Astyanax mexicanus: one gene and its partner. The protein of the gene in region 2 binds, or shares a complex with, the protein of the main gene of each other region. Links are inferred from orthologs where the notes say so. Each region holds a gene or a part of one and is shown on either strand. Other genes may lie near its edges.

What was found. Proteins that work in one complex are often made in the same cells at the same time.
Region 1: casp8 (region 2) and ripk3 share a complex: the UniProt entries of both Homo sapiens proteins name them as parts of the AIM2 PANoptosome complex. The link is inferred for Astyanax mexicanus from reciprocal best matches to the Homo sapiens genes CASP8 and RIPK3.

Annotation. Positions count from the first base shown.
Region 1 is NC_064432.1:21,542,428-21,549,940, reverse strand, and holds the start of ripk3 (receptor-interacting serine/threonine-protein kinase 3), read right to left. Parts: upstream 3,008-7,513; 5' UTR 2,947-3,007; intron 2,937-2,946; exon of another isoform or gene 2,863-2,936; 5' UTR 2,730-2,862; intron 1,618-2,729; 5' UTR 1,605-1,617; coding exon 1,447-1,604; intron 733-1,446; coding exon 411-732; intron 1-410. Other genes in the region: protein KHNYN, read left to right, coding at 6,593-6,832. UniProt on the Homo sapiens protein: Serine/threonine-protein kinase that activates necroptosis and apoptosis, two parallel forms of cell death. Necroptosis, a programmed cell death process in response to death-inducing TNF-alpha family members, is triggered by RIPK3 following activation by ZBP1.
Region 2 is NC_064412.1:41,337,066-41,344,664, forward strand, and holds the start of casp8 (caspase-8), read left to right. Parts: upstream 1-4,578; 5' UTR 4,579-4,637; coding exon 4,638-4,912; intron 4,913-5,159; coding exon 5,160-5,259; intron 5,260-7,599. Other genes in the region: ciliogenesis-associated TTC17-interacting protein, read left to right, coding at 886-962, 1,296-1,384, 1,947-2,129. UniProt on the Homo sapiens protein: Thiol protease that plays a key role in programmed cell death by acting as a molecular switch for apoptosis, necroptosis and pyroptosis, and is required to prevent tissue damage during embryonic development and adulthood.

The DNA.
Region 1 (7,513 bases), on a different chromosome or scaffold from region 2:
GGAATTTATGAATTTTTTAAGTTCTTCCACAGCAAACTCGCTCATCCATGCCTTAATGGTCCTTGCTTTGTGCACTGGTGCGTAGTCATGTTAAAACGTCCTCAAACTGTTCCAACAAAGTTGGGAGAATAAAATTGTCTGAAATCGTTTGGTATGTTGAAGCATTAAAAGTTTCTTTAATTGGAACTAAGGGGACGAGCACAACTTTTAATAAACAACCCCACACTATAATCCCCCCTCTACCAAACTTTAGAGACAGATGCAGTTATGGCTAAGGCAGGGTGGGTAAATGTGCTGCTGGATGCCATACTAATCCTGTACACCTCCATGTCTAACCTCATGTATCTAATCTGCTATCCAGGCTAGAGGTGCCAGCAGGTACAGTTCTAACCAGGATAATTCAACATTACCTTGGCGTTGAGGCTGTCGTCCAGCAGCACGTTGCTGGGCTTCAGGTCCAGGTGCAGAAGAGGTGGATCCAGCTGGTGAAGGAAGTTCATGCCCAGAGCGATCTGGTGGGCGATGCGGAAGGCGAGAGACCACGGAGGAGGTCCGTTTAGAGCCCTCTGGAGGTCCACCAGCGAGCCCCTCTCCATGTACTCCATCACTAGACCGAACTGAGAGGCTTCTTCACCCTCAGGTTGCCCTTCATACACACCCAGAATTCTCAGGACGTAGGGGTTCCCACCATGGTGCATCAGGTTTGCCTCCCGGAGGAGAGTAGAGTTGGAGCTGAAGACCAGGATAGAGATCATACGGCATATCTTTCATTAGGCAGAGTCAGTATCTACAGTATATTATGGACAAATGCATTGGGACACAAGCTCAATACTGAGAGATATATATCACTTTAGCCCACACTAGAGACAATAGGTTCATATTTAATTATCTGCTTCAGATACAGAGTCCTATTCTATTGACATTACATCTCTTCTACAGGCTCTAGTTAAGCCATGTGTGTGCATTAGGGGTGAAACACTTAAACAATTACTTTAAAAAAATTGATCAAGTATATTTCTGTGACTCAAGGAATCGTTTATTTAATGTAAAAACTCAGGGCATGGTATTTTGTGCTAACTACTTTTAATGCGGCACAACACACTTAAGAGTTACGTCACCCACACACAGGAAGAAGGAGGAGGAGGTTTTAGTTGAGAAGCGGCAAGGGAAAAAAGCAAACTCATGAGAAACTCTTATTTTGTGAATTTAAAAATAAAACCAATTGGTCATTCATTATTAAGTGAAATGTCTTGTATTTTTAATTGCTCTTTAGGCAAGCAAATATGTTTTATCCGATTACTCGATTAATTGGATATATTTTTCAGTAGAGTACTCGATTACAAAAGTAATCGATAGCTGCAACCCTAGTGTGCATTTACACATATATGTCAGCAATGGTAGTAAAATTAATATTTAGACATTTACATGAGACTACAAGAGATTTACCCGTCATCACACCGTAATAACTTTACGGCAACGTCCAATCGTAGTTTCAGATGCTTTGCTCTGAAGATCTTTCCGAATCCACCACAACCAATCAGCTGCCAGAAGTCCAAACTGTCATTGTGAATCACAGCAGGTAGTGAGCAGCTAGCAAGTTCCATTTCTCAGGGGAATCTGTTTCATTTTAAAGCAAACAGAATTTTAGAATTATAAACTAGGGGATGTGACAAAATATTGTTATTGCGATATATCTAATCAAAACTGTACAATATATCACAATATCAATTATGTCCCATATATCACAACAAAACACAAAATATCCTGTTTTTTCTGGTTTGGTATTAATATACTCAAAATTCAGTGTATAAAACACAACATTCTGATTTGGTATTGGTATATACGGGGCCCTAGGGTGACATCATGTAAAAAAAATTAAAAATGCATGGCCACAACTTATTAAGGCATGGGATTGAGATCCTAATCCGTGGCTTCATCTTATTGAAGCGTAGGAATGATAATTAAATTGGAGCCAGAGAATAATAAAGCTTGCTTTTCTGTGAATTAATGTATATTAAGAATCTGTAAATTACATCAAAGCTCATTTAATCCAAGAATAATCTTTGGTAAGAAAACGGAGAGTGAATTGGTTATTTATTTTTTAATCTTGGAATGAATGGAAAGAATTATCTTGATATTTTGGAGTCTCTTGCAGTGAGAAATGGCATAATTCTCAGTAAAAAAACATTTAATTCACATACTAAAAGCTCACAGCTTTTTATTTTTTTACATACACAACACACCAGTGTTTTTTTCTATTTTTTATAGGTATACTCAACATACCAGAGTACAAAACATAACATATACATTTATTTCTGGTCTAGTATAGGAATACTCAACATACCAGTGTACTAAAAACAACATAATATTTTTTTCTGGTTTACTATAGATATGCTTAACTTACTAGTGTATAGAAAACAATGAATATATGCTACCCTTCTACTTTGGTGCATGTCTGGTACTATAGTTTGCCCAACATACCCGCCTCTAAAACCAAGATGGATTAATTTAACATAAGGCTAAATTTGACCTTTACTTTTGGTCCTAAACCTAACCTTAAACCTAGTAATGTTAAAAATCCAGAGTTTCAGCATGTGTAGATAATCTATATGAGGCTATCTGACACATTATAAGCATAAAGGTTTTTGATACATTATTAAATCAGTGATATTTAACAAAACCGTACATTATTAGAGTAAATACGGTTAAAAATGTAGCACTGAATTTACCTTAAACATAGTCCGGGTGGAAAAAGTTTAACTCCCCAGAGAGAGTGCTTCTCTCTTCCTCTCTCTCTCTCTCTCTCTTTCTCTCTCTCTCTCTTTCTGGGCAGTTTAAATCCCGTCCATGCTGAAGGAAAGCCTGTGTAAAAGTGGTTAAAATGAGTAATATGTACTGAAATGGCGACAGAAAGACAGAAAACAGCAGCAGTAAAGTCTTTATTACTTTCACTTCCTTAAACAGACGGGGGAAATGTGACGTGAAGCCCTGTCTTTTACTCCAGAGGTGGAGGTTAATCCTGATAATCCACTCCAGAGCTTTGTTCCTACTGTGACTAAACCCTGGGCTGGATTCGGTTAATCATATGTTCAATGTGTTTGAGAGGAAGTAGAGATGTTGGAGGTAAAATATTATACAAAATACCATAATTTTAGTGTCTAAAGCCCTATCCGGACGGGATTAGTTTCTCACGGAGATGTCTGAGAAAAATATTTCACACTCCTACTCAGTAAAAAACTCTTGCAGCCTGACTAAAATAAAATAAAAAAATACAGGAGGACCAGTGAGTTTTTAGGCTTTCTCAGTTACACAACATCACGTTCAGTAGCTCCTCTATTTTCACTTGCTGTTGGGTTTACGTGGATTTCCGTGGAAATGTGTGCCGAAAGTTTAAATACAGTGTGTGGCAGTGGACAAATAGCTGTTTTATTAAACCCAAGGAGACAAAACTCAGAGATGTAAATCCGGACGGGACTAAAATTACTGGAGGACCACAGAGTTCAGCGAAAAACTGTAGATAATTCAGCCTGTAATTTTCTCAGAGGACGTCTGAGAAAAACACACACATGGTTTATACTGTAAAGGTATTGGTATATCTTATTTTATATTATATTTTATTCTATGATTATTCTTGTAAATATTGTTCTCTGGTGGGAATCTGCACCCAAGTTTTTCACTCACATGTACACCTGTACTCTGTGACGTGCCAATAAAAATCTTGAATCTTGAATCTTGGTCGTTCTGGATGGGAATAAAAAAATTGACAAAATTACCCCAGGACCCCATGAGAAACTAATTCCGTTTGGATAGGGCTTATTGTGAATTTCAAAAGTAATTTTTTTCCAATAGGAGAAGGTTTGATACCAGTGTCAATCACATGTTGATTGATGGAATATCTGGAGATGTCCACAGCAGACAAAAAAACTACGAGGGCAAGGCAAGAGAGTAGTAAAAAAAACACACACACACACACAAAACGGGTCTGTAACAAAGAAAAACAATCAAAAGAAACATATCGTACAAGAGCTAAAAAATGGGCTTCCATAGAATTATTAGAATTATTATTATTTTTTAAATATATATCTTCTAAACTTTAAGAAAATGTATTTTAAAAAGAGGTTTTCATTTAATTTATTTAACTTACCCAGACAGCACTGTAACCATGGCAAAGACACCACTTCCCCGTAACAGAAAACTGTATAAAAAGAAGAAAGTGAAGGTTAAATTTATTCCTCTATATGTGTATATGTGTTAATCTGTTAATTCAGAGCAAATTTACATATAACAATTAATGGTTATATTGATATTTGGTCGGTGTATGTTTATTACTTTAATCTTCTGACTATTTAAGGCCTAAATCAAACATGATTTAATATTGTCCTTTTTGGTATAGTAAAAAATTTATTTAGATTTTTATTAGTTTTTCCAATTTTATATATATATATATATATATATATATATATATATATATATATATATATATATATATATATATATATATATATATATATATATATTCCGTCTCCCCACAATATGAATCCAAACTGAAATGATCTTAATTTTTTCCAGAGCTGTATATTAAATATTATATATTGACCCTGGTATGGTTTTGCTATATATAAATATAAGTAATTTCCACATCGTCAGAGTTTGCCTTTTCTGCTCCACCATGAAGGAAATGTTGTGCGTCAGAGGAATTTCCCTGGCAGTTTGTTGGGCGCATGCGCAGATCCAAATACCTCCTTTTGTAGTTTACATCAAAACCCCTGTTTTACTCTTATTTTGACGGTTATTTTGGTGTAAATTTGTTTCTTTAGCCCGGATGGTTCTGTGCGCTGTATCAGGTGGAGGATATTTATCATAGTATTGTCTATAATTAGAAATGGAGGCTTTGGGTTTAGCGCTGTTATTGCGGGGCGCGTATATACGGTCATTACGGTACAGACGCCCCGCCCTGTGGCTCCGCCCACTGTGAGTTCCCCAAGTTTCATTTTGTCAACAATAATAACCCCCTACAGCCTGAACACGGACTTTTATACATTTACAATAGTGGATTAAGCTTCAGAACCGCCGGATCACACAGAACAGAGCCGGTTCTTCTCCTGAGATCCGGTTCTGCTGGACTGGACCGAGCTGAAATTTGATCTGGAGCGATAGATCTGCTGTTCTGGGTAAAAGTGCGGAAGACTGAAGCACCAGCAGCAGAGCTGTAACCGAAACCTACAGCCAGCAGGTGATCTATACCGTCTAAACACATGATCATGGTGAGATAATCATCTAATATCCTTTAATTCATTATTTTTATGGCTGGATGTGTTGTGTCTGTGTCCACTGGTCAAAAAAGTGGGCAAAATGACGTTATTTAAACGTTATCCTGATATATTACATCATATCTTCATATCTACATGTTATCTTCTATAGTAGCTATAGCCAGCTCAAACTGGAAGATCAGTTTAGCTTTGACCAGTGGAGGGTGTGTAGGAACCTGGCCAAGCTAGACAACTGGTACAACGAAGCTTCACCAAGCTGGTTAACCATTATGACCAACAAAACCAAGCTGGTTGACCGCTATGTCCAACATGACCAAGCTAGTTGACCACTATGTCCAACAAGACAAGCTTGTTGACTAGCATGATTAAGCTGGTTTGTCCCTGTTTGTTGACCATTATAATCAACGTGATCCATGTTTGTTGACCATTATGACCTACAAGACCAAGTTTGTTGGAACAGGACCAAGTCTGTAGACCATCATGATCAGAAAGACCAAAGCTTGTTGGCAGCCATAACCAGTAGGACCAATCTTGCTAGCTAACATGACCAATAAGACCAAGCTGATTGACCATTATGAACAAGACCAAGCTTGTTGGCTAGCTTGACCAGTCAGACCAAGCTGTTTGATAAACAAGACCAAGCTTGTTGGATAGCTTGCCCAGTCAGCTGACCATTATGACCAACAATCAAAATGTGTTGACCATTAAGAACAACAAAACCAAGTTTGTTGACCAACATGGCCAGCCAGACCAATCTGGTTGATCATTATAACATCATTATCATTATCATTATGACCAACAAAACCAAGCTTAGTGACTATTATGAACAACATGACCAAGCTTGTTGACTAGCATGACCAGCATGACCAAGTTTGTTGACCATTATGACCCGCAAGACCAAGCTTGTTGGCTACCATAACCAGTAGAACCAAGCTGGTTGACCACTATGACCAACAAGACAATTTGTTGACCAGTATGAACAACAAGACCAGGATTGTTAGCTAGTATGACCTATAGGACCAAGCTGGTTGACCAGCATGACCGACAAAACCAAGTTTGTTGGCTAGCATGTTGTTGTGTAGCATATTGGCTATTTATATTAGTGTTGATATGGATTTGTATGACTTCATAAACTCAACTAAACTATCAATTGGCATGTTGTCCATTTGTAATCTCAGGCCCTCCAACTGTGTTTGTATTTAGTTATTATAAAACAGTTTGAAAAGAGTGATGTTCTCTTTTTCTCTGATTTTGTCTCTCTTTTCTTTTTTTTACACACTCCAGTAAATCCAGAACATCGTCTCCTGCTGTAGCGCTTGGTCATGGCTCTGTCTGCTGTCTCTGGAAGGCTGGATAGGATGGAAGGAGAGCAGCAGCACGTGGAGGATGAGTTCACCTGCCCTGGGGTGTTACGGGGAGCTCTGCAGGACCTGAAACCCACAGTGGAGCGAGTGTTCGGGGTGGTGTTGAGAATCGGTGGGGAGGAGAATTCATACACAGCTCAGGATGGACAGATTTGGCTGCAGCTTAAAGGAAGAAAGAGAGACGTGGAGGCAGCAAAGGTGGGGTTTTGCTTGTTATGATTATGCAGGATGATCCTAAAATGTTCTTCCATGTGTAGAAATTTAACAGATTTCTCAGACTTGATAACCCAGCAGAGCGTGTACTGGTAGGTTAAGTAAGGAATGTCAATATTTGGTGGAATAACTTTGGTTTTTAATCACAGTTTTCATACATCTTTCATGGCACTCCTCCACCAGTCTTACACACTGCTTTTGGATAACTTTATGCCACTCCTGCAGCAAAAATTCAATCAGTTCAGCTTGGTTTGATGGCTTGTGATCATCCATCTTCCTCTTGATTATATTCCAGAGGTATATATTGTTATATTTACAACTTTAAAAAAATAAAATCCTAAATTTAAGTCTGCTAAGTCTGCTGATCTTGTTCATTATGTATTTATTTTACTTTTAATACAATGTTACAAGACTACAATATCTATCCCCAGTACAATAAGGCATATAAGTGGGCAAACATGTAAAAAAGTGTATTTATTTTCTTACTATATTCCTGCTTTCTTGTTGTAAGCTTACTACAACAAGGTTTTTTTCATTTGTTGCCTTTGAGCAACGTTATGTAGGTCACATTGAGTCATCATGATAAAGCAGTGGTGTTTTAGATAATCAGCTTGTTGAATGGTCTGAAAAAAAAAATCCAAAGAAAAAACTCCCAAATTGTAGTGT
Region 2 (7,599 bases):
CTTTGATGTCATCAGTAAGATAAAAGCTATATTTTTTATCTGAAACTATAATACCTGCCTATTTGTAGGTGTTATGTAGGTGAAAATGATAGGTTATGGTAAGTTATATGTATACAATGTTATATTGTAAACCTACAGAAATTCTGCCAAAAACAATAAACATATGTGGAAAAAATTTCGAATGAGAAGTGATACTACTGAGAAACACAGCCACCTATAGTGGAGTTTAGTAGCCTGATGTGCCTCTGCTGATTAGTAGAGATGGCACAGTCAGTTTGAGTTCAGTTTAACACTTTCTTTATTATATATAATATATATATATATATATATATATATATATATATATATAATACAGTGCCTCAAATGTTCTCTACTGAACAGTTGAGCAGAAGTTAAAGAGTTAGAGCGATTTTCAAAATGGAGTAATAGAGATTGTATATACAAGCTGCTAAAGTAAATCTCAGAAGATAGTATAATTCTTACACTTTTCTAAAACTGAAAAAGGCACTTACAATTCTTTTATTAAATAGCTAAATTAAACATTTGTTATTATTTTGGTTTCATATATAGAAAAATGAAATAATAAAGTTTGGGTGGAGTAATATGCCCTGCCTCTTACTTAACACCCTATAAATACCATCTACATAGCTTACCTAGCTTTGGCACCTCTACAAATAAAAAATTAAATAAAAAACTAAATTGTAATGGAGAATCACTCATGTATTTAAAGAATATTGAGTTGTTGTTCTTTTGTGCGACTTCTACATAAGGAGCAGGTTCTGTTGGTGTCTGATTAAACACTAGAAAAAATAAAGCTATATTGCTTTATTATAAACACAGCACTATACACCATATTAACTTATTGTTCACTTTTTCTAAGTGTAGCCATTTAGCCAGCAGAGTACAGCTGGGCTCTCCAGTTACTATGAACCTCTTGCAGCTCCCTCCCATAGCAAATAAAGGTCTGTAAATATAAAACATTATCTCCTTGTTTGTTTTTTTTCCTTTGTTTGTTATTTTAATAATTTTAGTAGTTGCTTATGTATTACGTAAGTTACACTGTTGTTGCTATTTTACTTTTTATTGCTTTTATGATTTCCTTGCATTAGAATCCTACTCTTGCATTTAACTATTTTATGTATATTTGTCATTATCTTATTTTTTTATTTAATTAAGTGCTGGCATTTTCTTTATCAATGTTATTGGCTTGGCTACATTGTAAATGAGGGCCAAATAAAGGGTTTAAATAAAGGTGGGTTGAGACCTCACCACACTGTGACATGTTCATTTTCTAGAGGAGAGAGACCAGAAGCCAGTGTTTGAGAAGAAGCCCCTGGTCTGGGAGGAAGATATGGAGCTCCACTCAAAGTTTCTTGACAGAAAGGTGTCAAATCATCATATTGATCTCATTTTGTTTTTCTTTGTTTCTACACCAATTATCCATTTTTTTAGCTTCACTCATTATATAGGACACATTGTAGTTCTATAATTACAGAGTGTATCCCTTCTGTTACTCTGCATATTTTATTATCCTCCTATTATCTTCCTCCAACACATTGCAGCTGTGATTTGTGTGGTGGGTCATTCTTGCACCATCCTGTGGACGGTGTCACTGCAGTGCTTAGAAAGACCCACCACCCAAATAACAGCTGCTTTCTGGTGGTCTTGTGGGGTCCTGACCATTAAAGAACAGGGTGAAAGGAGGATAATATATTATGCAGACAAACAGATACAGGACAACAGTCTGTAATTATAGAACTATAAAGTTTCCTATATGATCAGTGGAGCTGATGGAAGGACAGTGAGCGTAGAAACAAGGATGCGGTTGTAATATTCTGACTCTGGACTGTGTATATTCTACATAATACAATGTATTGAGATGTTATACACCAAGTAACACATTCTGCATATTTCTCGTCTTGCTCCACATATTCTCCATATTGCAGGAAGAGCTGAAAGCAGGCCACTCCTCTTATGTTAGAGATCATCCTGAGCTGAAGACGCTGCTGGCGGATTTTATGCAGTTCCTGCTGTTAAGGAAACCTCAGGATGTTTTCTCCTTTGCTCAAGACTTCTTTGCTCCCTTTGACTTTCAGCGCCCACCAGACAGCAGCTTCAAGACTTCTTGAACCATAAAGTTTTTTAAAGTAGCTTTACTGGAAGAAAAAAAAACTCATAACCTGTCAGGCCTTTATCCTGTGTGATGAGTAATTTTAATAAAGAGTTTCCATTTTGTGCTAGGTTTAACATTTTTTTGATGTGTTTTATTTTTTATATCCTATGGGATATATAACCAAAAAAATAACATTTATTTATTATAATTATTTATTATATTTTGTGTTTGTTAGAATCAAATGTTAATGTTTACATTTTTTAGGAACCTAAAGGCTAGAGCTAAGCAATATAGTAAAAAATGGTATCACGATAATTAAACATGTTTCAAAATACACACTGTTTATCACCATGTTTTGACATGCAGACAAAATGCTTCAACTGCAGATTATTATTTTATTTATTTTTTTTTTTTATATTATTTATTAAAAATAAAAAAAAACTCAGGCATAGCACCTTAATATACATTCAGTTTCTCACCATCCAATTAAACAAGACTAATTATACTCAGTCATAAAAAAATACAGTTGGGTCAGTGTTTAAGCTCTGAAGATATGCGTGATGTTGGTTTAAAAAATGTATCTCTGTATGATTAACATTTTTTCATAATGCCCTTCTCTACTAAAAGCATGTAATGTGGTGTGTGAAATCGGGACTTTTAATTTGAATTAAGTCCTCTAACCATTCTAATGGCTTAACCCAAACTGATTTTGTTAAAAGATTTTTCCCTATTAAATTCATGTAATCCATGTAAATTCAGATTGATAAGACAAAATAATAATAATAATAATAATAATAATAATAATAATAATAATAATAATAATAATTTGTTGAAATTAATGAAAACTTAGCTTCTCTATACTGCACCAAACGGAAAATAATAATTTAATTTTTACAGTTAATTTTCTATTTTCACGTTTAGCCTCAGAAACTGTAACTGCTTAATGTTACAATGATCCACGTGTGATCGAAACAGGTCCAACTCTGACCACAAACAGCGTCATTAATTTCTTTAGTTTAGTTAAATTACAGCAAACTAAGTTACACAAGTAACTCAGAAGCGAGTGCGTCACTGCGGGGTTTCCACTCCCTGTTCGGTTGTTTTAACTCTTTATTAGCCTCGGGATCTTATCGAAACTGAAAGTTGTGTCGGTCGGTGTGGAGTAATGTAGCCAGGTCTGATCTTCTCCGAGTAAACTAACAGATAGAAACGCTGTTTCTGGGGTTTTAACTGTGAGTGAACGTTGGCATCGCCACGAACTTCCGGATAAGGACCAGAGTGACCAGTGTCTAAATGTGAAGGTAAGAAATAATATAGAATTTCGCTTAGCGTTATTACAAACTTTCTGTAACTAGCAGCCAGGCCGGGTGTTCTGTCGAATTTGGCTACATTGCCCAAATGTGCTACTCTGCTGTATTGACAGACAACGCTGCCTAAATAAAGCAGTGGGTGGAATATTTTGGATGGACTGAAAGTATCATATCAGAAAATGCTCCCAGCTGAGGTATAAGATAAATATTTACTATTTATTTAACTATATAGTTATTTAATAACTATTTCAGGGTAATAAATACGAGAGGACTGATATTTTTTTTAAGTTTGAATCGCAATTTACACTTTTGTAACATTCTGCATTAGTAAATGTAAGCTAAAATTGTGAAAAAGTCCGAGGAAATCATAGACTGTGTATAGCGAGGAAATGGATCAGAAAGAATGGTAATGTAAAAAAAACGTTTTGGGTCTGCACATGCGCAGAACAGCTAAATAGCTCTTATCGTGGGGTAACGCAACTCGACAGAACACCGGAAGTGTAAACATAAGGCTAACTAACGCTAGCTAGATAGATGGTATACAACTCGAGGCAGGATTAAATTCCAACAGCGCTGTAGTTTATCTAATGTGTCGCTGATCCGGGCGGGTTAACACCGATTCTGTGCTCGATATTTCAGTGTCTGTAGAGCTGAAGTCTTTGGTCTGTGTTTAGCTTGGCGCTAATGTTAAAGTTACCGTAGCTGCGTCTGCTGTTTTTACCTTTTTCACAGTAGGTAAATTCAGCTCAGCTGGTAATTCAGGGAAAACATTCTGTAACAGGTGGATGGTTCATCCAAAAAAAAATAAATAAATAAAATAATAATGTTCCCCTAATCCCTAAGAGCCTGACCATGATCATTTTTCATATATATTCATATATATCATTATAATATTGGTATGCATGCATGTATGTATGTGTTTGTATGTATGAACTTTTAAACAAAACTAAAGAAATGTATTTTGTATTGTTGCGTTACATAGGTACATACCCATAAGTAAATGAAACATATGTAAAATTAATTTAAAAACTTCAGTGATAGTGCACTAGGGAAGGGTGGGAGGGGTTGCAAACCCTGGTGTCTTCGTGGTTGAAAAAGTATTGATAAAAGAGACAGTATGTTCTATTGGTGACTTTTCTTGTGATCAGTCTTTTACCGTCCACAGTCAAAATAGGCACAGCAAGTTTCCAGATCAGGTCCGTTTCTTGCCCAGTATGGAACTCAATACACTTCACATTATAGATGAGGAGCTGACAAAGAGTGAAGTGGCTGCCTTAAAGTTTCTGTGCTCAGATGTTATTTCTCGCAAGCGTCTGGAGAACGTGAAGGATGCCAAGGACCTGTTCCTGCGTCTGAGAGAACAGGCCCTGCTGGATGATCCTCGCTTCCTTGCTGAGTTGCTTTATACCATCCGTCGCAATGACCTGCTGACATTTCTGGGCACCAATAAAAGAGAGGTCAACAGGTGGCTTGCGATTTCTCCGTACAGGTAAAGGTTATCAGGTATTTGTTAGGGTCTGGAGCTATAATGCAATCGTATTAGTTATATAAATAAATCTGTACTTTAGTCAGTTTATTTTTTGTTTTGTTTTGAAAATTCAGATGTTATGTTTGAGCTCCCTGCTGTTGTATTATGATTAATGATTGCCAACTGACTGGATATTAAGGATAGTTTCTGAGATTTCTTCTTCTCATAGAAATCATGTATTCACATTACCAACACATGCTTCCTGTAGGAAGATGCTGTATAAACTGTCTGAAGATGTAACGGCTGAAAATCTGCGTGCCATAAAGTTCCTTTTGGATGGGTTGCCCAAAGCAAAGCTGCAGGACGCTGTGAGTATAGAGGTCTCCAGCAACATAAAACCCCTCATACAGCTCATTTGTTGTTTCTTTTGAAGTTTATTTTACTTATGTTGCAGTATCTCTTTGGGTGGGTGATATGCCTGCGTCTTAAAGGGAATGACTACTGGCACATTGATCACGTTACACACCCATGAACAATTAAAAGATTTAGAACACGCCTCTTGCGCTGTTGGAGCTACGCAAGGCCTACACAATACCAAAGACAACGGACACGCCCCTAAATCCAGCGGCGCAAAGTGCACTTAACTAGTTCACTATAGGTCGCTAAAATAGGGCCCTAAATGTAAATGAACAGTTTTAAACATTCAGTAGAAACAAAAATATCTGTAAACATTTACAGTGAGTCCAAGAAGTATTTGATCCCTTGCTGATTTTCTTCGTTGGCCCACTAATAAAGACATGATCATTCTATACTTTTAATGGTAGATGTATTCTTACATGGAGAGACAGAATATTAAAAAGAAAATCCAGAAAATAAATCTAAGGAATATATATTAATTGATTTGTATTTCATGGAGTGAAATAAGTATTTGATCCCTTAGTATTCATTAGCAGTTCTGGCTTTTACAGACCAGTTAGACACTCCCAATCAACTTGTTACCTGACCTGAAGCCACCTGTTCTCACTAATCACTTGTGTGAAAAACACCTGTCCACAGAATCAGACAGATCACACAGATTTCAAGTCTCCAACATGGGTAAAACCAAAGAGCTGTCACAGGACCTCAGAGTCAGAATTGTTGACCTTCACAAAGCTGGAATGGGCTACAAAAAGATTAATAAGGTGTTGGATGTGAAAGTAACAACTATTGGTGCAATTATCAGAAAGTTTAAAGAGTATAACATGACAATCAACAGACCTCGGCCCGGTGCTCCAAAGAAGATTTCGCCTCGTGGGGTGGCAATGATGCTGAGAACGGTCAGAAATCGTCCTGCAACCACTCGGCAGGAGTTAGCAAATGACCTGAAGGCAGCTGGGACCACAGTTTGCAAGGAAACAATTGGCAACACTTTGCGTAACAATGGATTCACATCCTGCAGTGCCTGAAAGGTACCCCTGCTGAAGAGAGCACATGTGGAGGCACGCCTCAAGTATGCCAATGATCATTTGAAAGATGAACCAAGTTATTGGGAGAAGGTTTTGTGGTCAGACGAGACCAAAATTGAACTTTTTGGCCTCAACTCCACCCGCCATGTGTGGAGGAAGAAAAATGCCGCCTATGACCCCAAGAACACTGTGCCCACCGTCAAGCATGGAGGTGGAAGCATAATGTTTTGGGTGTGTTTCTCTGCCAAGGGTACAGGGCTACTTCACCGCATCACTGGGAAGATGGATGGAGCCATGTACCGCACAATCCTGAGGGACAACCTCCTCCCCTCTGCCAGGGATCTGAAAATGGGCCGTGGTTGGGTCTTCCAACATGATAACGACCCTAAACATACAGCAAAGGATTGGCTCAAGAAAAATCACATTAAGGTCATGGAGTGGCCCAGCCAGTCGCCAGACCTCAATCCGATCGAAAATCTATGGAGGGAGCTGAAGGTCAGAGTTGCCAAGCGACAGCCCACCAACCTTCATGATTTAGAGAGGATCTGCAAAGAAGAGTGGGCCAAAATTCCCCCTGGTGTGTGTGCTAAACTTGTGGTTAACTACAACAAACGTCTCACCGCTGTGCTTGCAAACAAAGGCTTTGCCACTAAGTATTGAGTGTGTTTGGCAAGAGGGATCAAATACTTATTTTCCTCATTGAAATACAAATTAATTAAAATATATTCTTTAAAATTATATTCTGGATTTTTGTCTTGATATTCTGTCTCTCCATGTTAGAATATATCTACCATTAAAAGTGCAGAAGGATAGTGTCTTTTTATTAGTGGGCAAACAAAGAAAATCAGCAAGGGATCAAATACTTCTTGGACTCACTGTATCTGTTTCGACAGAAACTTATATAAAGATTAACACAATTATATAAAAATACCCTTATAGCTTTAAAGTAAATATCAAAAGTAATGCAAACAAAGGCTGCTTTTAAAACAGAATACTGCTATTAACACAGTTATAAAACAGTTCAGCTGCTACACAGAGCAATGCTGGGAGTTTTATATCCCTCTAGCCCATGCCTTGCATTAGGCATGGTGCCAATAGGTTCATGTTTATCTACTCTAGTCTACTCTAGTCTAACTATTTTATTTTATTATTTTATTGACAACACTTGCCTACAGGCACTAGACGAGCTGTGCGTGTGTGGATGCATTCACATTAGAAGAGGAGTTCACAAATATTTAGCCATATATAAAGTTAGTTTCTCAG